4 linked regions of the Styela clava genome follow. The protein of the gene in region 3 purifies or fractionates together with the protein of the main gene of each other region. This does not show direct contact. Links are inferred from orthologs where the notes say so. Each region holds a gene or a part of one and is shown on either strand. Other genes may lie near its edges. The genes, in order: CCR4-NOT transcription complex subunit 9, serine/threonine-protein phosphatase PP1-beta catalytic subunit, F-actin-capping protein subunit beta-like and CCR4-NOT transcription complex subunit 11-like.

What was found.
Region 1: the proteins of F-actin-capping protein subunit beta-like (region 3) and CCR4-NOT transcription complex subunit 9 purify together in Homo sapiens (co-immunoprecipitation; 3 studies listed by BioGRID and IntAct, with this or other methods). This does not show direct contact. The link is inferred for Styela clava from reciprocal best matches to the Homo sapiens genes CAPZB and CNOT9.
Region 2: the proteins of F-actin-capping protein subunit beta-like (region 3) and serine/threonine-protein phosphatase PP1-beta catalytic subunit purify together in Homo sapiens (affinity purification with mass spectrometry; 3 studies listed by BioGRID and IntAct, with this or other methods). This does not show direct contact. The link is inferred for Styela clava from reciprocal best matches to the Homo sapiens genes CAPZB and PPP1CB.
Region 4: the proteins of F-actin-capping protein subunit beta-like (region 3) and CCR4-NOT transcription complex subunit 11-like purify together in Homo sapiens (co-immunoprecipitation; 3 studies listed by BioGRID and IntAct, with this or other methods). This does not show direct contact. The link is inferred for Styela clava from reciprocal best matches to the Homo sapiens genes CAPZB and CNOT11.

Annotation. Positions count from the first base shown.
Region 1 is NC_135256.1:13,256,458-13,263,769, forward strand, and holds CCR4-NOT transcription complex subunit 9, read right to left. Parts: upstream 2,567-7,312; 5' UTR 2,499-2,566; coding exon 1,593-2,498; 3' UTR 510-1,592; downstream 1-509. Other genes in the region: exonuclease mut-7 homolog, read right to left, coding at 1-501. UniProt on the Homo sapiens protein: Component of the CCR4-NOT complex which is one of the major cellular mRNA deadenylases and is linked to various cellular processes including bulk mRNA degradation, miRNA-mediated repression, translational repression during translational initiation and general transcription regulation.
Region 2 is NC_135250.1:14,154,892-14,162,085, forward strand, and holds the start of serine/threonine-protein phosphatase PP1-beta catalytic subunit, read right to left. Parts: upstream 3,009-7,194; 5' UTR 2,935-3,008; coding exon 2,883-2,934; intron 2,329-2,882; coding exon 2,197-2,328; intron 1,630-2,196; coding exon 1,399-1,629; intron 1-1,398. UniProt on the Homo sapiens protein: Protein phosphatase that associates with over 200 regulatory proteins to form highly specific holoenzymes which dephosphorylate hundreds of biological targets.
Region 3 is NC_135256.1:14,405,040-14,412,566, reverse strand, and holds the start of F-actin-capping protein subunit beta-like, read right to left. Parts: upstream 3,008-7,527; 5' UTR 2,910-3,007; coding exon 2,907-2,909; intron 2,337-2,906; coding exon 2,125-2,336; intron 1,377-2,124; coding exon 1,263-1,376; intron 559-1,262; coding exon 417-558; intron 1-416. UniProt on the Homo sapiens protein: F-actin-capping proteins bind in a Ca(2+)-independent manner to the fast growing ends of actin filaments (barbed end) thereby blocking the exchange of subunits at these ends.
Region 4 is NC_135260.1:20,403,978-20,411,223, forward strand, and holds CCR4-NOT transcription complex subunit 11-like, read left to right. Parts: upstream 1-4,245; 5' UTR 4,246-4,508; intron 4,509-5,428; 5' UTR 5,429-5,493; coding exon 5,494-6,858; 3' UTR 6,859-6,934; downstream 6,935-7,246. UniProt on the Homo sapiens protein: Component of the CCR4-NOT complex which is one of the major cellular mRNA deadenylases and is linked to various cellular processes including bulk mRNA degradation, miRNA-mediated repression, translational repression during translational initiation and general transcription regulation.

The sequences.
Region 1 (7,312 bases), about 1.1 Mb from region 3:
GAAATGATCTTGCATATTGAGTTTAATCACCACTGAAATGGCTTCTTTTATCTTTTCTTGAGCTAATAAATCGTCAATAAAAGGCTTTAAGAATTCATTTGGCGGTTTATTTAATTCAAACACTTTAATAAGAATGCTTGAAGTTGCTGAATGGGCAACAACAATTACTGGCATTATCGCAAGCTTTAACTCCATGTTCACCACACAAGGAAGTTTTCCATGTTTTGTCTGGTCTGTGTACCACTCGTCTAAATTCTTTGCAGTGAAGAGAGCAATAGATTTGTTGCTTTTTAAATCTTTGCAATGCGAGAAAAATTCTACATGAGAAGAAAGTACATCACTTGTTGGATTAAACAAAGACTGGAGCGCTTCTTTTGTTTTATTCAGGTCACCGGAGCTGAATGACACCCAAGCACCCTGGAATACTCGCATAATAGCAAGCCGATCAAATTCCATGGTTTGATTATTTAAACAATTTTTTTGCAAGAGATAAACATACATACATTAGATCTGGCAAAAAAATAACAATTATTTAATATAAAGAACCAATAAAATAATAATAGTCAAATTACATACTAAACATTATCATTTTTATCAAATTTCAACACAAGGCACAAAGCAATATTTATTCCTATTCACAACAAAATGAAAGACCGGCATCATACCACTGTCATAAGCCAAATGAAAGCTGCAGATAGAAAAACTGTAATGATTATTGGCTCAATAAGATACTTGTCAACTACAAAAGTATTCAAAAGAAAATATTGTCACGACTCGTGATTATTGCTAACCAATGAATTTGCAAAATAGTGCAAATAAAAATTGGATTTATTACAAAAAATGTTACAGGGTATTTATTCCTGACAATTTCATCATTTGATGACATATAGACAAATTTTATTTGACCCCGAAGCTCAAAATCGAGGTTAATCAAGTTGGATTGAATTTCTACTTTTTATTCTTTCCATGCCCAGTACAAATTTGAAAATGTAAATCTGCATCAGTGATCTTGAGATGGGCATAATGGATTTGACCCAAATACTTTAAACTGAATTTACTCATAGCAAGTTTATATCGGGAGTAAAAGGGAATTATACCAGAGAAAAGCAACTGGAATATCTAACAATGTGCGTTCAGAAAATATACAAAAAAGCGTTGCTATGACCGATATCCAAGAAGTAACAAGCTCACATCAAACTTATTTAGGATATTGGGTATTCAAAAATGATATGATATTAACAATTGTTTCATGTATAGGTGTAAAAAGACATATTAAGCAATTTTCATGGTAATATCAAGTCAACCAGATTAGCAAACATCATATCGGTTATGGCTACCGTTATGTAGTAAGGTGGATAGAGATTGAAAATATTAAAAAAATGAAAATAATTAAAATTTTATCCAGTTGTGACTTGTGAACATGTGAAAAATGCAAAGACAATGGTGAGAAAAATCTAAATATTTATAATACAACTCAATGTGGGTTCACTATTAATAAAAAATAATTTACTCATTTATTGTATGATTTTTTGGAATATTATATCAGTTCTTGATATCAATTCAAATATATTTGTTCTAGTATTTTGAATTCGCTACTGCGGCATTGTTATCACTCTCTGGTCTGGGATACCAGATTCTTGGAGATTTTTAATTAACTGTGTCAACCACCTTTTTGTTGTGTTGTCATCTTTCAGAACTGTAAGAAATGTGGTATCTTTGAGTTGATCTGGAAGGCACTGACGCAAAGCTTCTTTTGCACGAGCATTATCAGAAAGTCGAAGATAACACCGGACGACATGCTTCAACAAACGTGCAGATGGTTCTTTTGAAAGAGACATAACCATTTTTCCAAGTATCATGGCAACGTGTGAAAAGCGCTCATATGTTTGACAAATGTATTGAAGACCAGTATCATCTAATAAAATTTTCTGAAGAATAAAAGTCGCTACAGTTTTTGACAATTCGCTCCCAGACTCCATGATTCTCAAGCAGAGCGGTATGATTTCAGTTGTTAGCAAGAATGTAATAACTTCTTGTTCATCAGTTTTCACAAGCGCTCCGATAACGCCAAGACTCGTTAATCGAAGATACTCGAATGGTCGAGTTTTACTTGTAGTATGCAGAAAAGGGTAAAGAAATAATGGAATGTGAGCGGTTAAAAAAGCAGTTCGTGTCTCTGGGTGTGAAGCAACACATTGAAGCAATGCTAAGGCATTGCATACACGATTTGATTGATGGGCTGTCAGCGTCGGTGGATTGATAGAAGGATAAATATTGACAATCTCCTGCAACAATGCTGCTATTGTCCCAAAAGAATGCCAAAGCATCGGTGCAAGGTCAGGTACTGTTTCTCGTTTCTTGCTCAGCTCCAAAAGAGCAGACTCTCTCGTATCCGGACTTGATAGTTCATTGATCCATCGGTAAATGCTTTCCCTCTCTACTACAGGAATTGCACCCGCATTAACACCCGAAATATGCATAGGTCCAGCAGCAGCCATTATTGTAATTATCAGAATTGTATTTATAAAATTCTCTGTTAATTGAGCTATATCGATAAAGTAGAATAAAACAATTTCAGTTTTCAAATATTTGATGGATGTAAAAAAAAAGGAATTGGGAGACATCGCGGTTCATAAACATCAGAATATGTTATTCAGTCACTTGCATCCTAAAAATGTGACAGACACTGGCGGAGGAGCCTTTTTTTTCTACACCAAATCTTAAATAAGCCTTTGTATCTTAATTATCCAAATAGGTCAATCCATGTAATGAATAAAACGAGAATATCGGTTGGAAACCGAAGACTTATCGATCGATAGTTAGGGGATCCCCCAAAACAGAAACTGCAGTTTCGATTCATCCGCTCTTGTAACTTGCGCACCGCACACACACACTCGGCGGGTTTCAAAATTCTCTCGCTTTACAAAAATCTAGATCACTATATCAATATTTGATTGATAACTCGCTAATTATACGACATAATTCGCCCAAAATCAATAGGATTCTGGTCCGAGATAAGATGAATGCACATGCAAAATCTGGAGCAGATTCAATCTCGCTTTCGTGAGATATCGCGTGCATCTAACAGACACACAGACATACACACAGACAAATACCTATCAATATACTTACCGATCTTAAGATCGATAAGTAATAACCTTTGCTTTGGGAGGATAGACTTTTACGAGTAGCTAGTTTTGAGCTGCATGAGTTAATCTGCTGGAGTTAATCTTTTTACAGCACAAAACAGATGAACACCACACTAAAACGAAGAATTTACACAAAACAGAAGAAAATAGCCCGAAACATAAAAAGTGTAATACATAATGCTTTTCTTATGTTAATACTGTAAAAAGTTAACAAAGATATATAATGATTTACTCCCGAATACCATAAAGTACACATTGTAGTAAAAAAATAATGATGATAAAATAGAATCGGAATGGATTTCTGTGAAGCTAGCAAAATATCATGGAAATTTGAGCTGACAGAATTTTTTTGCGATAATTTTCATACACAAAAACAAATATTCCCACTGAAAAGTATATTTTGAATAGTCATACTATAGTAACACAATTAGTAATTACACTAATATTCTTGCCATTTATTGGAAAACATTAAAATGATTATAATCCAGTGGTTCCCAAAACTCGGCTCATGGGGGTAACGATTTGATGTAGCCCACCGAACTCAAGTGAAATAGTTTAACACTTTGCTTTACCTTTTTTTCTAGATACCGCTAATTGTTATGTCATTATCATAGTTTATTATGTTGCATTTCGTTTATATATATATATATATACAGGGGCTCAGCCAGAATTTTTAATTAAGGGTTTTAAGGGGGTTCAAAATCAAAAATCCTATTCCCTTCTGAAACGGTCGACGCGATTACACGCGATTAATATCTCGACGCCGGTGAATTTATATTAACGCTCACTGATTCTCAATTCTGTGAGGTTACAAGAAAAGGTAATTATCATCATTGTCGTGGCACAAGACATACTCATGTTGAGGGAAATATGTGATTTAGGGAGAATAAACACAGAACCTAAAGGAGTTTTACGGCCTAAATACAGAAATGACTTCCGGTATCACGCTGACAAAAACAATCGGCGATTTTAGCAAAAATGCAATCAAATGTGTTATTATTTGACTTTTCCGGCCTTCCAAAAATTTTGAAAGAGAGTTGATCGTTAACACCACCCCTGGCTGCGCCACTGAAAATATGCATATTTATATGATTTCTGCCATCCGTCGAAGGTTTTTTAAGAAAAAAACATATTCGCCTAGTCCAGTTACCTCCCATTCGTATATCGAAACTCTGAATTCTTATTTTGTAGACTATATGATCGTTTTGTTTTTCTGGTTTGATAAAAAGCAATAAATTCACTCTCTCTATCCTACTAACTACAGGCCTTTTTGCCGGCCTGTCAACGTTTAATTGAAGATAGATTTCCATATTCCAGTATTCATCCAAGTATTGGAACAAACACATCTTCTGTGCCTTCAGAGTTTATTTTAGGCAGGCTTTCTTTCTTTTGTGCCAAATATATTCCAATGCCAAACGGAACTTTTGTATTGAGATTTTAGAATCGAATTAGACTATTATATTTTGGGAATTTGGCAATTTAATCCCCCCCCCCCCCCCCCCAAATACATTTGAATAATGGGCTATAATAAAAATCCAAACAAATGCAAATTCATACCGGTACCATTACCGGTACCATGATGTCTTCAAGTTAAAATATTCCATTATATGCCCCCAGGAGTTGAGTTTATCCACATTTAATCCAATCAGCAATTTTATATCAGCTATATTTTTATATAATTTACATTTTAATCGTTTTATTTAACTTAGGCTTCTGAATGATCTGACAAGTGGCAACCGTAGACATTTGACTTCATCTTCGAGAAGCGACCTCCAACGACTAAATTTTATAAATATATACCCCGTATTCGAGTAAACTGTGGTTATTCTATTTATCTATCAACAATTATGTACATTTGACCAATATAGAAAAAAATGCTATTATTTTATTGATATGTACTGCAAGATATAAAATTTGGCTGCAAAGAAATGCAGTGATTTTTGAAAATGTAATGCCAAGAGTGAATAATGTAGTCAATAATATAAGAAATTCAATAAAGTGTAGGAGAAATATAGAACGACTGAGAAATTTACCTAATTATTGTGAAGAACTTGATTTATTATGCAAATATATATAAATATGACTAGAAGTGTTTATCGTAATGAAGTGGAACTAATTCTTAAAATTTTCTTTTCCGTGCATTAATTAAAATAATGGTAAATGGCATCATGGAACATATAATTGATGATGACAACAAATGGGATTTACAACGGATATGCTACAATATGGATACAAATGATCAATATTTATTATGAAATTTATACTGTCTCATCTGTATGTAATGATTTATATTATTATTTTATCTATTTTTAACCTTCATTTTACGTATTTACTTTATTTCTCAATTATTTGGTATTAGACTATATCGCAACCAATGCGCAACCGATAATGCTGGTACAGTAGTTGGATAAGATAGTCGACATCACGGGGTGTCAGGCAAGGGTTGAAATACGACATACCACCTTGGCGTTTTATCTCCTGTAGGACATTCGTGCGAGAAAAGTCGCGTGAATATTATAAAAGCGTAATTAATTTTATGAAAACTTATAGTTTAAATATGAATGATATTAAAATGGGTGAACATAGAATTATATATGATAAAGTTTTAAAAAGTATTAATGGGGAAAGACTTGTAATTATCCGTAATTCAAATCTCAGTATAACTTGTAACAGTATTCATAATAAAATTTTGGCAAATTATATGAGGACCTTCAACTATAAGTTAATATGGGATATTCTACCCTTGAAAACAAAACCAGAGATCAAAAGAGTAGCAGGAAATGAATTATGTTTATTATGTAATATAGAACCTGAGTTTGTGTCACATATTTTTATGTTTTGTAAGTTTACTCAGAAAATTTATGATGAATTTGTTTCCTTAATTATATTAAAATTAATTAGAATAAATTTTGTTATAAATTATGATTCTTGTATATTATTGAATTTTAATGATCCTTTATTTAGTCATATAACAGCATTAGATTTGAATGCAATTATTCTTTTATTATCAATAGTGCGATATAAAATTTGGATAATGAGAAATTCTATAATATTTGAAAATAAAACACCTGACATTGCTCTCCTTAAAAAACAGATAAAAATGGCCCTAATGTATAGAAAAAATATAGAAAATTCCAGAGTAGACAAACCCTTTGAAAAAGAATTACAAAATTTATGTAAAGCATTAATTTAGATATTAAATCAGGTTTATAATAAGTTTTTTGTATTTACTAATTTTGTGTATTTCCTTTTATATTGTATTATATCATTGTAATTATTAAAAAAACATTATTATCGTTGGATACTTATTACTGATGAAACAAACTGGAAATACTGTGAAACTCAATTTAACAAATGGATCATGAATGGAATGTGGACTATAATTTATTTTATTTGTTTATTTATTTTTTACATATTTATTGAAATCACTCAATGAGTGAACCAATTAAAAAAAAAAAAAAAAAAAGAGAAAAGTCGCGTGTTTTCAATTTATTCTCGATTCTTTTTCTTTTTGGTAATATTCGTATTAAAAGAACATTATCTTAAATAATACCTAATATGGCGCCGTATTAAAACATTGTCAGACTAGTTAGAAGATAGTGATACTAGTTACTAGATTGAAAATCATTTTCTTTGTACCGTATCTGTTGTAGGTATATGGCCGTATGTTACGGTAATGTTGATAATACAGTGATATCGTATCACTCAAGTGTTTTGCTACCTAGCGTAGGATATTATCTTTGTGTCTTTTAAAAATGTTACTGTACGGTAACGTTTGAGAAATACAATGTCAACTGTTAATATTGTGATATAATATTTTGGTAAATAGGCTATGCTATATAATATAGGTAGTAATAGTATACTGTACCATATGGTAGGTACATAGTCTAATAGGCTACTATCCACAGGTCTGAATTGTTGGGAGGTTGATTTTAAAGGTGCAAAATATTTCATAGACAAATAGTGCAGTGTAATATATGTGGATTCCAAATACTGAAGTATAATCTCAATTAAGTAATATAACATTCTTACGTATGTAAATACATTTGTTCATACATTTAAAAATAGCGAAAGACTTCATTTTAACGTTTATTTTTGATGGGATTCAATGATATTTATGGAATAATTGATTTATGCCAATTTCTGAATTTGTTAATTCAAAA
Region 2 (7,194 bases), on a different chromosome or scaffold from region 3:
TTTTAGTTGACATTACACGCAATTAATGCTTTACATTATAACATTTATAAAACGTGATGCAACCTTTATATCGCATGATTGAATTTTTTCTGAATAGAACAACATAAGAAAGAGTTTACAGGCTATGCGAGAAAAGAAGGCAAGCAAATTCTATCTTATTAACAGGATTCCTTTACCATAATGGCCTTATTTAGTGCTTGTGTTAACGAGTGATTTAAAAAGAGCACGCACCAAAATTTGATATCTAATCCTGAGGTAAATGAGGTTAATGAAATGTCTTGTACAACAGTAATAATTATGCCGGCAAAGTATGTGTTAGATATCGTGGCTTGAAGAAAATATGACTTAATTATTATGACAAAGTAGAATAATTTGTGACTGAGAAATTTATTAAATAAGTAGTTAGTTTCAGCATGTCAATTAAGGTGTGAGAACTTGCAGAAAATTAAAACATAAATATCAAAATAAATAGTGAACCAAGGAAGAAGCACATAATGCAATAAAATGGGATGACTTCCATTGTCATCGAGCTACAAAGAACTATAACTGCAAATGGTGTTTTCGGTTTCGTATAAACTGTACAATCTATATAGGTATAGTATATTATTATAAAAACTGTTTGAAGAATTTAGAAAACCGTGTAACATCTATCACTTATCGCAAGTTACTGACTTACTGGTACTCAAATTGTTAACAATTTTTTTTATCCAATTTATGAAGAAGAATATTGTATTATTAATGATAATATGGAAAAACAAATATTAAAATTACATCCATACTAGTATACTTGGTAATTAATTTTTATTAAAATAAATATGTAAAAAAAAAATCAACAAATTCATTAACAATTTCCCAAATAAAATTGCAGTAACAAATATCACCGGTCCAAACTGGATTCAGAGTCGCAAAACATTGCACACACAAAATTTGACTTTATTTTGCCCATTTATCAAAAGTAAGATTCCTTCTTATCAAAGTTTAGTCTATCTGTGACAACAGTAATTAGTTCCTATCATTTATTAAAGGTTACTTTTGATATACAGCATATTCTATATGCCGTAATTTCCTTGCTTAATTAATACACAGAGAAAATATAATTTACTCCTATTCAATGGTTTCCCCCATTGTTAAATCAATGTTTACTGTAATCAATACCACGAATCAACATAGATAGTGTCATACTGTAGTGTTATGATTAATCAAATTAAAAGTGATAATATTCTTAGAAATTGAGACTAATGATTAATGAACATACTGCACAATAAAAAAATTCAAATTTACATTCCAACATAAAGGCATACAACCACCCTATCAGACTTTTGGTGTCTACACTTTTCGTAAATCAAAAATTGTACAGTGAAATTCTAGAATATCAAACTGATATATGCTCCTACTTACATTCATCATGAAATCCATATATACGATTGATGCTGGCACATTCATGATTCCCTCGAAGTAGAAAAAAGTTTTCAGGATATTTGATCTTGTATGCCAATAACAAACAAATACATTCTAGAGATTGTTTTCCTCGATCCACATAATCACCGAGGAAAAGGTAATTAGAATCAGGCGGAAAATCACCATACTCGAATAAACGTAATAGATCTGTATACTGTCCGTGGATGTCTCCTAATATTAATGAAACATTCGTATAATGAATCAGGTATGATCATCATATTTACATTCTATTTATTAAATTCTTCGATTAAAGATTGGTCTATCAATTTGTACAGTTGGACTAAGAAAAGAATATTCTTGTGACATTATAGACAATATTATTTTCTGTATTATATTTGTCAAGGAAATTCATTTGAGCTGTTGCAGTAGGGAAAGTTCTCAGATTCCACGATTTTCCGACATTTGTTTCTATAAAACAAACCGGATCGGATTATTTTTTCTGAGAAATGCGATGGTGGTGTTTTTAGATTGCTCTTCCTTTTAGTTTTATTGCACAGTTCCGAATTGCTAATTTTTGCCTATATAGAGGCCCAGACTGTCTCGTAAAGGAGGGGTATGGGTTTGCACTCAACTGTAATCGATCGATATCTTTCAATATGTGAGTTATGTTAGAATCGGAGAACTGTGCCATATTGTATTGTCCTAGCTCTTAACTTCAGTTGAACTTGATTGAATTTCTCAATAAAATCACATACTTAAATTAGGAAAACTAAATTCAAGATCATGATTTTATCTCACCACATATTTTCAATGGTGCTTCCAACTCCAAAAGAATAGGTTGACTTAAAAATATTTCTCTTGATTTGATACAAAGACCTTTAATTTCTGCTTCTGTCATTTGTACTGTTCTCCCCGGTCTGCCCCCACGAACTGAAATATAGAGAATGGTGTTTACGAAATGCTTTCAAAGTAAGATTAGCATTAAAGATCTTGCAGTAAGGTCAGAAGGTGATATAAGGCTATATGACAGTTTCTTCTGCATAAACCCATATTTTATTAATAAATGAAAAAAAGATAATAGGATAGGATTTACATATTTATCCTGGGGGAGAGGGAAGCCGATAAGACGGCTTAACCATATGACAAACCACGGCCTCTCGTCCGGTTACCATTCAATGTCGGGGATGGGATTAGTCAGTTATTTTTTGCAAGCATGGACTTGATGGTGGAGGAAGCCATAACCGACCAGCGGTTACGTGAACCACCCTACGGCGGCGAGGAGTCCAGCAATCCTCTCGCACATGACCATCCATGCATGTTGAACCTGAGAAACCCACGAGGAGTAATCAGAGGTGCAGTGGTCGAGCGTATTACTAACGCTTATCACGATGAGCCACACTCTGACACTGCCACGCCGGTGATAGCCTATTTGGTTAGAGAAGTTAATCATATCTTGGAATTGAAATTAAAAAGTTAGTACTAACCATCAAGAAGGCGTTTTATTAATCCATCAACATCTAGTTCACTGTCTGCCATGTTCTTTAAATATTTTAAAATCAATAACTAGATGATAGACTAGAATGAAAATTCAAAATAAATCATAAATCGTTAGTTGCGCCAATTGATTCTGGATGACACAAGAGTGTGAATGATTTTTAAAAAAAAAGATGGCACCACACTGCAAGTTTTAGGAACATGCTGTCGATGAATGTTTGGCAAAAAATTAAACTCAAAGTATACAAAACAGTTTAGCACTTTCTGACTTTAAAAATGTTCGGAGCAAAAATGCATAAAATTGAATTTATTTTTCGAATAAATCAGGGTGAATCCATGAAGATTGAATTTCGCATTGCAGTATAGTTAAGGCAAACATTGCTCAGATAGACTTTATATTATATAGCCTACATGCCGGATTAGGTCTAACCATCTTGATATCAAATGCTTGTAATGGTGAATTTTTTGAATAAATATATTGTATGACAGTACAGCAGTATGAAGTACAGTATAACTAGTTTACATGTACTCGAATATGTGATTTATTTCAACATGGCTGGTTTGAAGCTTCTGCAGGTGTAGACTACTGTTACAAAACAGTGAAATACTGGTATTCACTATTCCAGTATTCAGCTGTATTTGTAGAAACAAATCTGATACTGGTAATACTGTAATAGGTTTAATAGGTCAGTAGGTTTGTAGGTAGACTATCTGCTGATCTGATCAAAATCGTAATTCTAGAAAATATATATTTATTCTGCATATTCAGATATTGCTGTATTGCCACATACAGATTTGAGGAAGAATAAATAGAAAAGCAACATTCACTGTTCAAGAAGTGTGGTATCGGTACGGTACCGGTATCACTGTATCAAGCCAGTCACCGAATGTTACCGTATAGAACTGAAATTATTTTGCATTATTCAACTTAGAGCTAAAGTTACATCATGATTCTGTAATTTGTATCGTTATGCAGTTGTGGGTAGGTACGGTAGGCACGTACCGTTCTTCTCGTTTTCGCAACTCCCAAGGCGATTGAAGAACGAACCATACGGTAGTACCGGTAACGGTACCGGTACCAGTAACGTTTTGTGACCGAAAAGTCTGTGGGTCTCACGTACGTCCAGTGTAATACTTTTAGAGGGTGTGGCTAAACAATTTCTACATATGTCATTCCTGGCCCCATCTGATGATGTAATCCAAACATTACGTCAACGTGACGACATGATATATATAGAGCTTTTTGCGTTATGGCGTCCGCATCCACTTAAACAAATAGGGGTACCGTACGGTACAAACGCCAGCGATCTCTCGCATCGGAATTATTTCGATTAGCTGAAAATAAATATGAACAGCGAGCAGGTATAAATCAAATTCTCGGACGAAAGTTCAAGAGGCATCAGAGCAACAGCCGAATTTTGCTGCGTTACCGGTATAGTAGGACAACAGACATGAATATACAAATAAAACTCTTGTACAATACACAGGACAAAGAGGTACTGCACCATGATGATATGTACAATAGGCAGTTTATGGCACGTTCATCTCCCAGGTTCTGATGTGAATAGGGTATAAATTAGGGTTAGCATTTCGGGACCAGTTTTTGAAATCCCGGTATCGGGATATTCCGGGATTGAGCCGTATAATCCCGGGATTTTTCGGGTTCAAGTAAAAGATCGAAACAACTTGCATGACAATAAAATTACGTATTTATTTCATGTAATATCGGCGCGGAAATATTAAAGCATCTATCAGTAAGTAGTTTATTTTTCACCATACTTCAAAATAGGCACAAACATACAAATTGCAATAAATTATAAATAGGTCATATTTCAGGGTGAAGGAGACGCGGGAAACCAGTACTGGTTATTGAGCACCGGCGCCCATAAAATAAGACTAATACTATATTATAAAGAAGAAAAAGTCGAACTAAGTATATGTAAATTGAAAAAAAATGTAAGTAAATGGTTCCCAACCTTTTTGGACACGTTTAGTGGCCATAACGATCGTTTCAATATTATGTTGTTGTTGTTCTTTGACACGTTTTTAAAAAGTCGCTTTTCTTTTCGAATACTGGACCAATTGCTTTGAAATTTTCAGTGGTTAAAGATTAATTTTTTCGCTAGAAGGCTATTACTTTTATTTATTTCAAAATTTTGCGTGAATTCTATGAAATTTGATATTTCGTCTAAAATTTTGCTGTATTATTTTTTATCCATGGGAACACGGATTTTAGTCAGTGTCATGACTGGCTGTACGTTTTGATTCTGCAAAATTCTTGCTACTGGAAATTCAGAACTTTTTTGAGGGTACCGGTAGCGTCAAAGGTACCGGTAAGGACTGATTCGCTCTGGTCTAACGTGTCCATATATTTGTGCGTAGCTCTCTTGTTTTTTAAATCGTGGCACACTAGTTAGCTCTTTCAATTTTCGTGGCACACCTATCACAAAACACGAACATTTTCTAGTCATGAAGAGTGCGATATTTGAACACGAACAAATGGTTAATAGTTACAAATTTAAAGCAAACGAAAGCGTCTTCGCAACACCTCACATTGTTGTAAAAGTCGCGCGGCCGCATGGGTAATACGTGGTCTTCAAACGCACCGCCGATCACGCGCTTCGGTTTTGCTCGCCCTTCCACGTTATGCTTTTATTATTGGACACGTTTAGTGGCCATAACGATCGTTTCAAAATTTTGTTGTTATTGGACACGTAGTGGACATAGCGATCGTTTCAATATTATGTTGTTGTTGTTCTTGTTATTTGACACGTTTTTAATAAGTCGCTTTTCTCTTTGATTACTGGACCAATTGCTTTGAAATTTTCAGTGGTTGAAGATAAAAATTTTCTTCAGAAGGCTATTACTTTTTTTTTCTGCAATGACGTCATCAGAATTATTGCCCTTAGGGGGCGCTACGTGTCCATATATTTGAGCATAGCTATCTTGTTGTTATTTTCTTTCGTCATTATCATTAAAAAATCGCCTTTCTCTTCGAATACTGGTCCAATTGCTTTGGAATTTTCAGTGGTTCAAGATTGATTTTTTTGCCAGAAGGCTATTACTTTCATTTATTCCTGAATTTTCTATGAATCTTATGAGATCTAATATTTCATCCAAAATTGCGCTGTATTTATTTTTAATTATGGGAACACGGTTTTTAATCCGCCAAGCGTGACGGCTGACTGTGAAAATTCTTGCGACTGAAAATCCGGAACTTTTTGAGGGTACAGTACCGGTAACGTCAAAGGTAAACCCTGCTTCGCTCTAGTCCACGTGTCCATATATTTGAGCGTTGCTCTCTTGTTATCACTCGTATTCTCACTTTTTCACAACCCAATTCATTTTTGGACACGTAGTGGACATAACGATCGTTTCAATATTATGTTGTTGTTGTTCTTGTTCTTTGACACGTTTTTAAAAAGTAGCTTTTCTCTTCGAATACTGGACCAATTGCTTTGAAATTTTCAGTGGTTAAAGATTAATTTTTTCGCTAGAAGGCTATTACTTTTGTTTATTCTTAAATTTCATATGAATCCTATGAGATATGAAATTTCATACAAAATTTCGCGGTATTTATTTTTACTCATGGAACACTGTTTTACACTTATTTCAAGCGGTTTCGCGATCGATTGTCTTGCTCAGTACTACAGCTACTGTAGGTCGGTACTGGTAAATTGCCATACAGGTACCGTAACGCAGTGAAATTGACTTATTCCTTCCGCGGTATTACTAATGCTGCAATGCAAGTTTTATAGCCTATCGTATGCGGAACGGAATATCAGACCTACAGGTTCGGTACCGGTACTGGTAGCTCAGTACGTAAGTACGATACTGGTACTGGTGCCGGTACCGGTGTCTTACCACAATGAAATTACCGTAACTTATTCTTTCACGGTCCTACCAGTGCAGTAATGCAAGCGTTGTAGCACTTGTAGCCTACTATATTTGTTTATTTTGATGAGAGTCTACTGGAAACAACATAAAATTTGAAAGGGAAGAATTGTTCTGTGATCAATTATCTGTCCTAAAGTGTAAACAACATAAAATTTGCCAAGGGAACAACTGTTCTGTGATCAATTACCGTATATGGCCTACAGTGTACAGGTAAGATGCTGGCTGACTGCTAACCGGTACTGGTAGCTCAGTACGTAAGTACGATACTGGTACTGGTGCCGGTACCGGTGTCTTACCACAATGAAATTACCGTAACTTATTCTTTCACGGTCCTACCAGTGCAGTAATGCAAGCGTTGTAGCACTTGTAGCCTACTATATTTGTTTATTTTGATGAGAGTCTACT
Region 3 (7,527 bases):
ACATAAACAGAAACACACTCATACGACGATAATCTAGCAAACCAGAGTTTAATAAGTAACAGGGTTTGAGAATATCCAAATTCAAATAAGTACCTGTGTGGCTGTATTTATGTAAGAGCCTCATATAACAAAACGAATACATCTGATAAGACTGATATAAACAATATACCAACCATTTCAATGAATTTTCTGTAAGTGAAGTCCTAATTCAGCCAAATGTACGATTCTCTAACAATATTTCTGGAATAGTTACCGTACTATAACATTATTTCTCATATAATAAAAAAATATATATATCTTAGAACATGCTTACAAAAACTTACTCTGGAATAGTTACTAACATTATTTTTTGAGTAGTTACTCTAACATTATCTCTAAAGTAATCAAAAAAAAAGAATATCTTAAAACATGCTTACAAGAACTTCCACAATGTGTAATGAGTCCCAGCAGCCTTTGACTTTCTTCGTGTTATCACCAGCCTTCTTAATAAGGACTGCACCAGCAAAACCATGATCAAGATCCCAGAGGTACACAGATGATACACCACCTTCATAATACCTATGAACGTAAAAAAAAAATGGCCAAAATTGAATTTTCGAATTCACATTTTTGAATACATACTGAGAAAATATATTCGAATATAGAATATCGAATACATTCTGAATTGGGGGCGAGTTCACGTAAAAAATTACATAAATCACTATATCTTCATGTTGATCACATCTGGCACAAACATAAAGAGCATTGGTTTCTCTGTGTTGTTTCCTGCCAGTTGACATATTGTATGTTTTGATTTGTTCTAATTCATTCCTAAATTTGAAAATTCGCTATATCGAATATAATAAATTTCGAATGTGTTTGAATATTCGATTCGTTTTGGACAACATCCCTGGTTCGAATATTAAAATCGATGACATCAATAACACGATTCATATAAAATATAGATTCATAAGCATCAGGTATTTAAAAAATACCAGGCCAGCGCACACAAACTAAGTTATGAAATATTTAATAAATTAATGAGGTATTTACTGTAGAATTCTTCAATTTGAGTCGACTCAAAGCTTCAACAATATGAGCAATAATATTGGTGCCAAATACCTAATCGCTTATGGGAATAATATAGAGTTCTTTAATTTGAGTCGATTCAAAGCTTCAGCAATATAAGCAGTAATATTTATTGCTGCCATGCAATCATGGAAGATTTAAATTGAATCAAAGAATATCCTCCACTGTCCGGCCAGCCCTGTATTTATACTTACATTTCCCTATAGGAATCAAATGCAGAATTGGCTTCAACTTCTAATTTGCGTAATCTATCTGAAGGTTCAGCACCATCTTCTATGGGTGGATCATATTTGTTACTCCATGGCGACCTGCAATAAAATTAGCAGTGACATAATAGGATAAATATAGTTCTCGATCTACTTAAAATAGGATTGTCATATTCATAATGATGATCCATCCCTAAGCCATTAATTATATGGTGGAAGGCGATAAACATGCCATCTTTCTCTGTTTATGGATATCCATATTAGCCGGAGAAAAAAACAGACTATTTGTTTTCCTTATTATCAAAGACACAACAATATTATTAAAGATATAAAAAACAATAATAAAAATATTATGATGATTAGGAATGTAAAAACTAATAGGAATCGACTATGGCCCAAATCGCCCACTAGTCTAAATCAAATACATTTCAAATTGAAAATAAATTTTATATTTGTATTATCAAATAAATTCTAATTTGAGTAATGTCAACAGAGAAAAAAGCTCATACGTAATAATTCACTATAACAAATATCTCTAATTTTCAATGCTCCCAAATATTCAGATTCTTCTGAGCATTAGCAATAGGATTTAACTTTATGCAATATATATAACTAAGCTCAAATGAAAGATGGTTTAATGTTTGATTCAGAGAAAAGATGACAAAAAGTGAAACAATAATAGTGACAAAGTTGTATTCAAAATAGAATCTCTGTTATAATAAACATGTATTTGAATGACAATAATCTAACTCACAAAAGCAAAGACGACACCAGAGGCAAGATTTAAAGAAGTTTTAAAGGATCTTATTAAACTGATTACAACGTGTGATGAAAGGTCCATACAACTAACCTGTAAGAATCACCATCACGATTATAATCACAAAGAAGATAATCCTTTCCACTGTGCTTATCTCGAGCTATTTTGAGCGGTTGATCAACGGAGGACAGGAGGTCTTCACATAACTCTGGAACAAGGTCAATGAGGTCTGACAAATTTTTCTCAACCTGTTGAGGAGGTAACCTTCTCATCAAATCGAGCGCACAGTCCAACTGCTGCTCCGTCTGTAAAATAAGAAGATTATTGACACATGGATGTAGGCTCACTATTAAATACTCCAATTCTACTTCATGACATCTGAGAAAACCATAAAATAATAATAATTAGAAATACAAATCTGACAAAAACGTAGACACAAATTTTGTTATTAGCGGACTAGGTATATACACTAGTTTTTAAATTGGCTGTGTAAAAACGTATAAATCGTTATTAACAACTTTTATTATTTACAGGGTGAAATTTGGCATGTGGCCTGGACAATATATCATTTAACTATCTTGGGAGTTTTATGGCGTTTTCAATAATTTGTCATCGATTACTCTGAGTAATCGTTAATGTACAAAAAAAAAAAATTTTGACGTCATTATTGTATTGAATATAAATATTTCAGATACATAAATAAATAGATAGACAAATAAATAAATGTTATTATTTCAGATAGATAATCTGACCCCTCAAATACTAGACCACAAAAAGGTTGTAGAACCATTGTATCAATTATTGTTCCATTTGCAGAGAAGAAAGTTGATGCCTGATGGCAAACTGGATAAATCATCTTCGTAACCCTTACTCACCATTTTTCTTTTTGTCACAAGACTGAAACACCGATGTAGAACACTTCTTTGGGAAGTAATAAACCTATAATATGCCTATTATAAATACACAAACCTGTATATTTCAGACAAAAGAATATTTTAATAATCATATTAAAATTACCGGTACTGTTTCACAAAATAACTTTTATAGACTTTTTGTGAGCTTCCACATCTGAACTTTACTTTAAACTGAAAATTAACTATAAAGTCATTATTTATAATACAAATTTATCAAAATAAATGAGTAATCATACACTTGGTAACTACTTTTCAAATGCCTTCATCAAATCACTTCCATAATAAACTTTTGACAGTCAGCCCCATAGCAGGAATGGCAAACCATTTTTACTCAGTGGGTCTTACATTATATTTATAGCATGGGAAAAAGCATGCGGGTAACAGATTTAATCAATCTACATCTACATTGCTGTGGCATCTTTTCCGCAAGATTTATAATTCTGGCTTGTTTTGAACTTTACACATGCAGGACTGAAGCGATTTCTGGTACTGAAATTCATGGCTAAAAAACATGGACTTGTGTGCATATAAAGAACCAAAAAGAGATAACAGTGCTACGACAAATTCATTCATGGTTTTAAATAAGTTTGAGATGGAATTCCACTCAGAGAGAATCCTATTTTTTTGCTGGCTTGCAATCTTACTGCAGTCACTATCATGTAACATGAGCAAAGAGAACTGAAATAGATTCAGCGAAAGTTGATAGGAATGAAAAGCTTTATTATATTGTTATGTCACAAAAGTTGTAACGGCATTGTTGCCAGTAGCTGCAGAGGTATATTGAAACAGATATTCCAGTTCACTCAATGTTAGATAAATTGAGGTTGGTCTACTACGAACTGGCTGGATTATCGAGAAACATAACAGTTGGTTTTTCGTCATTCATCCCCTATAATGAAGTCATTACAAGGTACCATTTTTAATAGTAAAACACTAAATCCAGTATGGCACAGTTCTGATTCCAAGAATAGCACCCACATTAAAATATATCATTTATAACAGTGAGTGCAAACTCCTCCTACACGAGACTGTCTAGGCTTCCATAACGGCGAACCAGCAGCTGCGCAATAAACTAAAAAAAAGCGTATTCTAAACATGTCACGAATAATCCTATTTACCTAAAAGAAAAACCGTAGCATCCAAGAGTTTTTTAACAAAAAACGGCAGTGTGGAGAAATTTGGTCATGTGATGGCCGACACACGTCGTAATTGATTTAAATTTTTATTGAGACAAGCATGACACGATCTACCGATGCATCAGGATGCCCTTGTTTTCGTGAAAAATGTCTGAACATCTCAAAATCAGAAAACTGTGCCATACTGAAATCTCCCATATTGCCACATGCTTGAAACTAAATTTAAACAAAAATGCAGAAAATGTTTTGATTTATAGATTTTTGATTTATTTATCAGAAAATAGATTTTGACAATTTTCTTCTAAACCGATCAGTTATGTTATTCAAATATATCCCAATTCCCAATCCTGCATTCATAATTTAGTTCCATTTAAATAATTATATTCAATATGGCAGAATCCCCGATATCAGGATTAATATAAGATATTTCCACCAGAGAGATTATCATTTAAAGCGCTTTGGTTTTGCCATTCACAGTTAAATAAAACAAGAAGTACAGGCCATTATACTGTTTTCCATGATTTTGAGGGTTTTACAAAACAATACTGAATCCTAGTAATACAATTATTAAATCGGCACAATTGTGTTATACCACCCTCGTGATAGTTAATTAGTGATTGCAGTATATCAGGGATCGGCTTTCTCAATAATATTACCATTTGAATGTTTAGGAATTCCATATTCTGATATTAACAGTAACAGAAAAATTTTGACATACTGATATATTATGTTTATATTCCAATTTTCTGATGCAATAGTTACGTACTGTTCCAATTTCCACCATTGTTTGGTAAATGGGTATTTATGATAGGAGAAAATGAAAGAGACAAAATAAGTAAAATATACAACACACTACTGCACTATGTATGCGCACTATTATCGATTTCAACAGGGAGTGCTATGTTGCAATTGCAAATACTGAAATATGTGTATGCTAGGTATTGAATAGCTGACAAAGTAAATTCGGAAATTAGGTATTTACATAACAATTTCTAAGTCTTCGAAAGAGGTTGTCACACAATACTTTGATTCATTCAATAATGTCGCTAATTTCGCTTGAAAGAATGTTTCATATATTTTATTTATTCATTCCATGTCACCAATAATATATGATATTTTCAAAGGTAAACATGCACTTTTCGGTTGATATGAAATGTGTAGATATATTCACAGATAGGGCATTACTGCATTAAATTACAAATCATATTCTCTGTTCTCCTCCAACAAAAACAGACTATATCTTTTTCATTTCCATCAAAAGTTATTTTGCAGTCATTATAGCATACTTTCAGTCCATACGATAAATCACATTGCGATGAAAATGGCAACTACCTCATACAGAGATTCATGACAGCTAATTATATTTGACTTTCTGACTTTAGCATGACCTTCGTTCGATGATTATAGGTTTGAGATATATCCAACTTATTTAAGTATTTGGCGCACTTACTGTGGGACAGCATTATTGAATATAGGAGTATAAATTTAAAAATTGACAAGCAAATGATCAGGCATGCTGGCATCATAAACAGGAAAAGGTTAATTTTTGCCAACCACGGTGGAGAACAGCGGTTCTGATTGTGAGACATTGTGAATTTACGGCGATGAGTATTTCTATTTAATACAGCCATTCGCGTGCCGCCCTCGCCCAACAGCCAAAGCACTAAGACAAAAATCGAAACTGCATCGGTACGGTACACGTCTGCCAGCCTGAGAGCGATTGGACAAACAAGAACCGGAACACTCCCATCGCAGAAAGCCGACAGAGTTACGCATCAATGCTTGTCCACAACTTCCTTCACGAAGGCGGGCACAGTGGTAATCGTGAGTGAGAGAGCGTGAAAAATGTACGCCCGTGCTATATCGAAGAAATTGAGCTTTTAATTTTTGATGTAAATGATGAGTCATATTATTTACTGAGCCACGACGTTCAACTGTCCTTGACAGACTCGCGCACAACCAGTTCTCTAAATAGCGCACCAATTTAGCGGCTATGTCCACAACAACCATCAACTAAAGTTCTAAATGTAATAAATTGTTCAAAAGCGTTGATACGATGAATAAAAATGAAAATAACAACTCTATTGCAATAAGCTCTAAACAACTCTGTTTCAATTATGTGGAACTTCATACTAATCTCAAAAGACACTGATTTTGGAGTTTTTCGTTAATGTGTCATATAGGATAGGATTCACATATTTATCCCGGAGGGGAAAGGAAAACCGATAAGACGGCTCAATCATATGGCGAACCACGGCCTCTCGTCCGATTACCAGTCCAGGTCGGGTATGGGATTAGTTAGCCAGCTATTTTGTTCTCGGAAGCATGGACTTGATGGTGGATGAAGCCGTAACCGACCAGCTGTTACGTGAACCACCCTACGGCGGCGAGGAGTCCAGCAATCCTCTCGCACATGATCATTCCCGCATGGGATTCGAACCTGCGATCCTACGAAGGGTGATCAGAGATGCGAGCGTATTCCTAACGCTTAGCACGATGCGCCACACCGCCGATATATCCTATTTGTCAGGTGAGCAACCGTTTCGAATTCCTTGCAAGTTTTGGTCATATTACCTGGTAATTCCTTCACTTTTTGCTGCATTGATACGTTATCCTTCTCTCTATGTGTTATCATATTTGTTCTGTAACGACAAATTTGATGACAAAAAGATTTATATAAAAAGTACACACATAACCTGGAAATTTAAAAAATACATACATTTATATTTTTGTCTTTGTTTCAAACCGTTTTTGGTTGAAGAATCATTCAATCTTTCAATTCATGAAATTGACACATAAACAGGGGCGCATCAATGCTGCTGCTGATTTTATTTACAGAGTAGACAAGAGCTGGAAACGTGTGACAAGTACCAACTGGTGCAAGTTTGATAGTTTTGAGTTTCTGGTACAACTTTTTTTATGTTTTCTAGTCTTTTTGCTGATTTCGTAGAGCAATATTATTTTCTGCTCCACGGGAAGGAAGTGGGGCGGAAAGCAATACACGGACGATTCGCTCACGTCGTTTTTCTTACCAATGGAATGGTCATGTTGGCACCGTGAAAAGGAAAAATATCTGTTTCTGTTATATTTCTATTCAAATAATGTTTTTGAGACAAATTAGCATAACCGGCATGGGCGTATAAGATAATATAAGATTTCCATTTCATCCCGGGGGATGAAAAATTGTAAACAAGAATAGAACGTAAAACTAATCGTGAAGTTGTAATTATAACGCCGCACCTTGACTTGTTTACGACGTGCTTCCCGTATTATCATTGGAAAAATGACATTCGTTGTATTAGGAAGTCTCTTTGCAGTAATAGTTGAATTTATAAGTAACGATTTTAGGTATATATAAAAATGGTCGTGGTATTGTTTTGTTAGAAAATAACACAAGAAAACGTTACAATTAAAATCAATTAGTTCTAAACCCTCTACTAGACACA
Region 4 (7,246 bases), on a different chromosome or scaffold from region 3:
CTTCTGGTCCGACATATGATGAATGCACATGCAAAATCTGGAGAAGATTCAATCTCGCTTTCGTGAGATATCGCGTGCATCTATCAGACAAACAGACAGACAAATACCTATCAACATACTTACCGATTAAAATCGATAAGTAATAAGGTGAAAAAAACAGTAGATAACAGTGGGAGGTAGGCTACTGTGGGTTGGTAGTTGCAGCGTTACTAATGCTTTCTACAGAAATAAAATCATAACTGAATTATTAATATTATTTTAATTTTTTTAGATGAACTTCTCTTATTGGACACGAAAGATTGTACTTTTCGCTAAAAGGCGAAGTCGTGAAGACTACGATAACGTTAATATACTCTGACAGATGGCATACTCGTACAACTCGTTTTGTCTTTCGTGTTCATATATTTGAAAATCGCTCTCTTGTTTTATATATTGACTTTTTTCACACATATCAGTTGTGTATAACGAAGGCTCCAATACCTTGATCGATGGGCCTTGAAAATTTTTAGAAGTCTCAAATGTGGATTCAATAACATTCAACACCTGCAAAATGTAGTACATAATGAGAAGCACTAGAACTAGATGATCATTTTTTATTCTATTCTACAATATAGTCGTAAACAGTCACAGTCGAATCTTTGTGACTAAGAGTATGATTGTTGCAATCATTTTAGACAAAATGTTCCCACTCATAACATTTCAGTATATTAGGAAAAAATAATATATATATAATTACACAACGATGAGACATGGGAAAAGGGCTTTGAATTGCAAAGGTGAGGATAACTATGTTACTATTGTCATACCCAACAAGGACTGGTAACCGGACGAGAGGCCGTGGTTCGCCCTAGGATTATGCCTCCCCATCGACTTTCCTCTAACCCCTGGATGAATATGAAAATCACCATTATCTCGTTTTCGTGGTCTGGCAAGCTATTTGTCAATTTTAGTTGCGTTTCCGCCATTTCGGTTCCGACAATTGCATAACCCTATAGTATTCTCATCTCCTGAGAAGTTTCAGTCCAGTGTCAGCAATAAACATTGGTCTCAAGAATGCTTACATAGATTAGACTAAAATTAGCTAACAGTGCTTTAAAATGGCAAGTGGTTGAATATTATGAATCATGTACACCGGTTTGTTTATGCCTATTCGCGAAAAACATAGGATAAGCAACAAAAATGAAATATTTTTCATGTGCCAAGTGTCGGATGTTTCCCGGAATGCCAAATTCCTTGTTTATTTTTATAACATGAGCTAACCAACAAGAGTCATTGTCAATTTTTTTTTTTATCAGTTTGAAAAATAAATAAAAGTCAACACACATTTTTACTGGGGAAGGGAGGCCGCGGGTAACCAAACTGGTTATCGAGCAGCGACACCCAATGCCCAACATGACGTAACAGTTGAAATTTTAGCAGCCGGTCAGACACTTTTCACTCAGACAGATTTTCTGGAATGTCTGCAAACATTCTGACCACAATGGGACAATTCTAGGACAATGTTCTGCATTTTCTCAATTTTGACATTAGCTCGTGTTATCGTTTTGCTAGCTATTTGTCAGTGTTTAGTTAGGTATAAATCAAATAACCATTTCAAACAAAACTATTTAAACATTCCCGAAACATATGCAATAGACAATGAAATCAATTACAAAATGCAGGTAGTAAAATATATGAATCAAAATGATGGTTATGAAGCATATAAATAGTTAGAAAGAGTTACTCCTGATGACAATGTCAAAATAAGCATAAAATGGTAGTTTAGTAGGCTACAGGTAGAATTTTACTTGGGCCACGGATCGGAGAAATATCCATCCCGTGGCGTCCGTAGGTTTATACTGGTCGAGAATTATTTTTCGGGAATCACTAAATTTCAGGATAGGATAAGAGCGGACTCGGTGGTCTATGCCTCGGCGAACGTTGGGACGCTGTCAATACTAAAATCCGTATCTCGACTTCTAGTGCTATTTTCTGCATAGAAATAATAGAAACCCCTAATCAAATTTTCTCGCCTTTCCGCGATTTTCCACCGTTCCCTCCAGAATTGGCAGAAAGACTATGAAATCTGTTTTAGGTATTCGTATTCATTCTAGATACCTCAATGCAGACTTCCTAATTTTCAATTCATTTCCGCATTGTTCATTACTGCATAATTTTAACGAAAGATCCTGCTTTTTAGTCGGCTCGGCTTACCCTTCCACCGTTATAACTATGTAAATCAACACAATATACGACAACGAAATTTTATTTCGATCTTTCGTAGGTGCTCCCGTAGTATGTGAACCAAGATGGCGGACACTAGAACGTAGAATGTGTACCAGATTAGGGTTAGGCCTGAATTTTATTCCAATTTCCCTTAGTTTTATTACGAGTTCGGGAACTAGCCAAGTGACTCCCGTAGTATTTGTACCTGAAATTATGGCCTAACTCTAACCTGGTACACATATTACGTTCCGGTGTCCGCCATCTTGGTTCACATACTACGGAAGTAGCCTTTCGTCTACAACACAGAACACGAATAAAAAAAAACAGACATGGGAGACGGAAAGATCGGGAAAATGAAAACACCTAGAAAAGGTCGAAAGCGAACGCCGTAACCAGCGTTTGTGCCCATTCATCCACACTCGCACAAATGGAAAAACACACCACGACAATCATCCCCCAAAAACATGCACAAAACAAATAATGAACACAAAACATAAACACACAGAATGATGGAAAATCGGGAAAACAGGCAAAACCTCAATCTAGTAAGGTTTAAAACACGTAGATTCGCATGTGCCTGTTTACACATGTTACACTCACAAACATATTATGAAAAAGATAAAAACACGAACGTGTTATTGTTCGGGCGTCTAACTTGTGTAACAAACAAATTGCAGATGCGGTGGGTTCCAATATAAATCTGTTTAGGTCGAGACGGACATGATTGGGATGTGTTTATATAAATGTTATATGCAATGTAGTTTTATATAAAATGCTGAAAATGCCTGGTCACTTCTTTTCCTTAGTTCTATGCGAAGCAAGTATGTGAAATTGGAATGGCAGCTAGCCGGTACAGCAATGCCAAAGTAGTTTATTTTTTTTTTTCAAATCCTGTTCTTTCGTTATCCATCATGCCTGTGCCTGTGTCGAAATGCGAATCCCAATAATAACATTCAAGTGATCAGCTGCTGTTTTATTGGTAAACAAACAAAGATAAGAAGTAAATACCGTAGCTGACAAATGGTTAGCTAACCCTATGGTTGTGTGTGCGAGTGTGAATGATTTGATTCAATAGTTTTAGGTGAGTGAACGCGTACCACTTCTTTTTGGCAATACCTTCCATCTTATATTCTGTACGTTTTAAATTTTGTCCAAGGTTTTGTTTGCTCTCCTGATTTCATAATCAGTTTGTATTCATTTGTTTTTATCAGCCATTTTATCGTCTTTTTGCTGATTATGGAATCGAAATAAACTTATCTTATCTGTCTAACATAAAAACTCGAAAACTGGTTTCGAGCGTTGTTTTGTTTCTTGTGTAACAAAATTGGTTCAAATTTAGAAAGTTTCCATTTGAAAATTTGTAATCCTAGGCAACCCTATCCTATGCAGGTGTATATTACACGTTGCTCACGCTTTCTAGTGTAATACCCCACATACACTCAAAAAGTTTATTTGCCGCTCCTCTATTTTAGGGAATTTGCCCGTTGTTCCCGTATTTTAGTACAGGCAGTTTTCTGTAATTCCCGATTTTTGGTGCATTTCGCATTCGGTAGCCCGCAGGGTAGACACCAAAGTGACTATAACACTTTAGTAGGTACTAGGTACCGTACCGGTATTAACGTATTGTGTGGGCGATCTTAGCTGTGCATTTCGAGGAAATTTTTTATTTTATTTAAAGCTAATTCTCGAACTAGACTAGGCCAACGACTAACGAACTAGACTGATCCGGTACCGTACGATCAGTAACTAACGTACGGTACTTCTAGTGGACGTAGCATAACAATTTTTTGATATCTCAATCCTAATCCCCATCTGATTACGCTATCCAAAAATTACGTCACTACGACATCACAATCACGTCATAGAGCTTGCCAAATATACGTACAATCGCCCAATTGGTATTGGCGCCGGCGATAAAGAACTGACTGACGTTATCGATCTCTCTCTTATCGGAATCGTTGCGACGAGAAAACGAGGGAAATAACTGCTCGATTTCTGGTGCTCGTTTGCGCGTCTTGGATGGGAGTTCGTATAGTTTGAAGGGCTGTATTACGTCACTGTGATGTCGTGTTGACGTAATTTTTGGATGGTGTAGTCAGTTGGGGGTCAGGATTGATACGTGAAAAAACACTGATGGAATGGACATATGAAAAATGAATATTGGATTATTTATCTTATGATTGCTCGAATGGTTATATACCGGTACTTTTTGTTATAATTTATTATATTATCCCATTAAAAAAAAAAAATGTCATGCTACGCCCACTAGAAGTATGTTAGGTACGAAACTACATCAGACCCCGGTAAGTTTAGGTTGACTATTTCAATTTTTCGTTATTTTGTTACCGTACCGGTAGAACATTGAGGGAGAAGAGAAATGAAGTTAGCTTTTACTATGTGGGAGAGTAGAAGTAACAAGATTTCAAATAAACTGAAAAGATTTACCGATACAACAGTAGCTAAAAATGAATTCTGGTGGGTCTGCAGGTTTTCATTGTCACAACTGCACAATCTCGTATTACTGTATTACAGTCAACTCTTTTAAATTTTTGTCAACTCTTTATTATACTGTTTTCGAATGGTTAAATTTGCTTCCTAACTGTTTTGTCAAATCTTTACAAATATTGTAAACATATTGCATTTGTTAATACTGTAATATCCGAATATATCTAAATTAAATATTGGGTGTTAGCAATTTTGTGTGTTCTGTCATTGAAAATTGTCACCACTGGCATGTCTCTGCTTCTTAATCAATCTTGATTGCGGGCATGTCTTGAATCAGAACACTGGTCAGTTGTAATCAGCTAATACATTCCAGAATAATATGTATTGCTCAATAGGATATTTTTAAATACAAAATCTTCAGTTTCTAAATACAGAAATATGGTATAATCATATAAACTCACTTTTGTGATTACTTGGCATAGAGCTTGTTTTGATTTATTTTTTTCACAATTACCAGAAGTTGAATGAGTCTGAATATCTGATGTCAATCATAAAGAAAAAAACAAGATTATTTCGTAATGATAATAGGCTAGTACTTTATAATATACTTCTAAAATTTAAATATCAGGGACAATCCCTTTGGGTAGAGTTGGTGCTGAACCAGAGGTTGGTAAAATAATACAAATGGTTTTCACTCTTTGGGAGAAATAAGCTTGTATTTTTTCATTCCATGGTCTGATGCAGCAGTAAGTTGATGCTCAATATGTGTTTTCTCTAGATTTGACAAAAACCTAACTTTAGATTTGACAAAAACATAACTCGAAGGGTCTCCAAGAGAAAACAATGTCACTGACCACAAAAGAAATAGGACATGTCATGAACCTGCTACGGGAGGATACAGTTAGCACAACCACTTTTGACAGCCTCGGTTCTGCATTACAACGTCTTGGATTCAACAAGCATGATCATTTTCGGGTTGGATCATCTATTGTTCTGTTACTACAAAATCGAGATCTACTTCCTGGTCCAAATCAGCGACTTGCCGCAATATATTTGCTTTATGATATGTACAAAGCGGAACCAGTTGCTTCAAACCCTTTTGCTACAGTTTTCGTACACTTGCTGCAAAACACACAAAATTTGACAATTTCTCATGAAATACCTGCAATGGGCAAACTCCCTCCATTGTCAAGTTCTGAAAAAGCATTTTTGTCGCAGCTGATATCATTACCAAATAAGGACTTAGTTAAACGTACACCTAAGCAAGTATTGTTTTCAGAGGGTGAAAATACTTCTCACCCACAAAAATCTGTTTATGATGTTAGCGGTTTGCAACTTTCTTTAGTGGAGCGGCAATCCCAACTGCCAGTGCTAAACAAAACTGGTATACCTTGTGTGATGCCCCACCCTGAACCTCCCAATATGCAAAAAGCCGATCCGCCATCGGATTCAAAGCCTGTTCAGCAACAGGTCCTTGAAAGTTTGTTATCTGGTAAATCAGCACCAATGACAGAAAACATAAGACCAACCTTTGTGCGACCCATTCCACTTTTACATCCTCCAGATAATGAATTGGTCTGGATGAACCCAACTCTGCCTGCACGTCATAAATTCCTCTGGGACAGTCAAATGACAAAAAATACAAACAAAGCAGGTGAAGTAAGAAAATTGATGACAAAAGCGTTTAAAAATCCTTTAACGAATGGTCAACAACAACAACTTCTTGCGCAATTAAACGATGATTCCAAGTTGGTCTATCATGTGGGTTTGACTCCAGCCAAACTACCAGACTTGGTTGAAAACAATCCACTTGTTGCCATTGAGGTTCTGTTGATGTTAATGCAATCTAGCCAAATAACGGAATATTTTTCAGTTCTTGTGAACATGGAGATGTCTCTACATTCAATGGAAGTCGTTAACAGACTAACCACAGCAGTGGAATTGCCAACTGAATTTATTCATTTATATATTTCTAATTGCATATCAACATGTGAAACGATTAAGGATAAATACATGCAAAACAGATTAGTTCGCTTAGTCTGTGTATTTCTGCAATCACTGATACGGAATCGCATTATAAATGTCAAAGACTTGTTCATAGAAGTGCAAGCATTTTGTATAGAGTTTAGTCGCATAAGAGAAGCGGCTGGACTATTTCGCTTGCTGAAGCAATTGGACACTGCAGAAGCAGAGGCTGCTAAAAAATAATGTTTTACATATGAAATCAATATAAAATTTTCAGTGATGCCACGTCATCAAATAAACAATCAGAATTGTGCAAGTATGTTTATGTACTTATATCGATACAGAGAAGGGTCTAAGTCAGGGGTGGGCAATTACTTTCCCGAGTGGGCCGGATGCGGAAAATAGACTTGATTACTGGGACGGATGATCAAAAATGTTTATTTGCAAATACCTAGATACAACGATTAATGTGACTTCATTACAAGGGGGCTGGCAAATTACGGCAGCTGCGCAGCGAAATTTGATAGAAAAAGAAGCTCAAGCTCAACAGCTACGCTAACGTTAAAATACAGCACAATGTAACAATTGGGGTCATTATGACGCCAATTGATAAATAGGTTTTTGAAAGAGA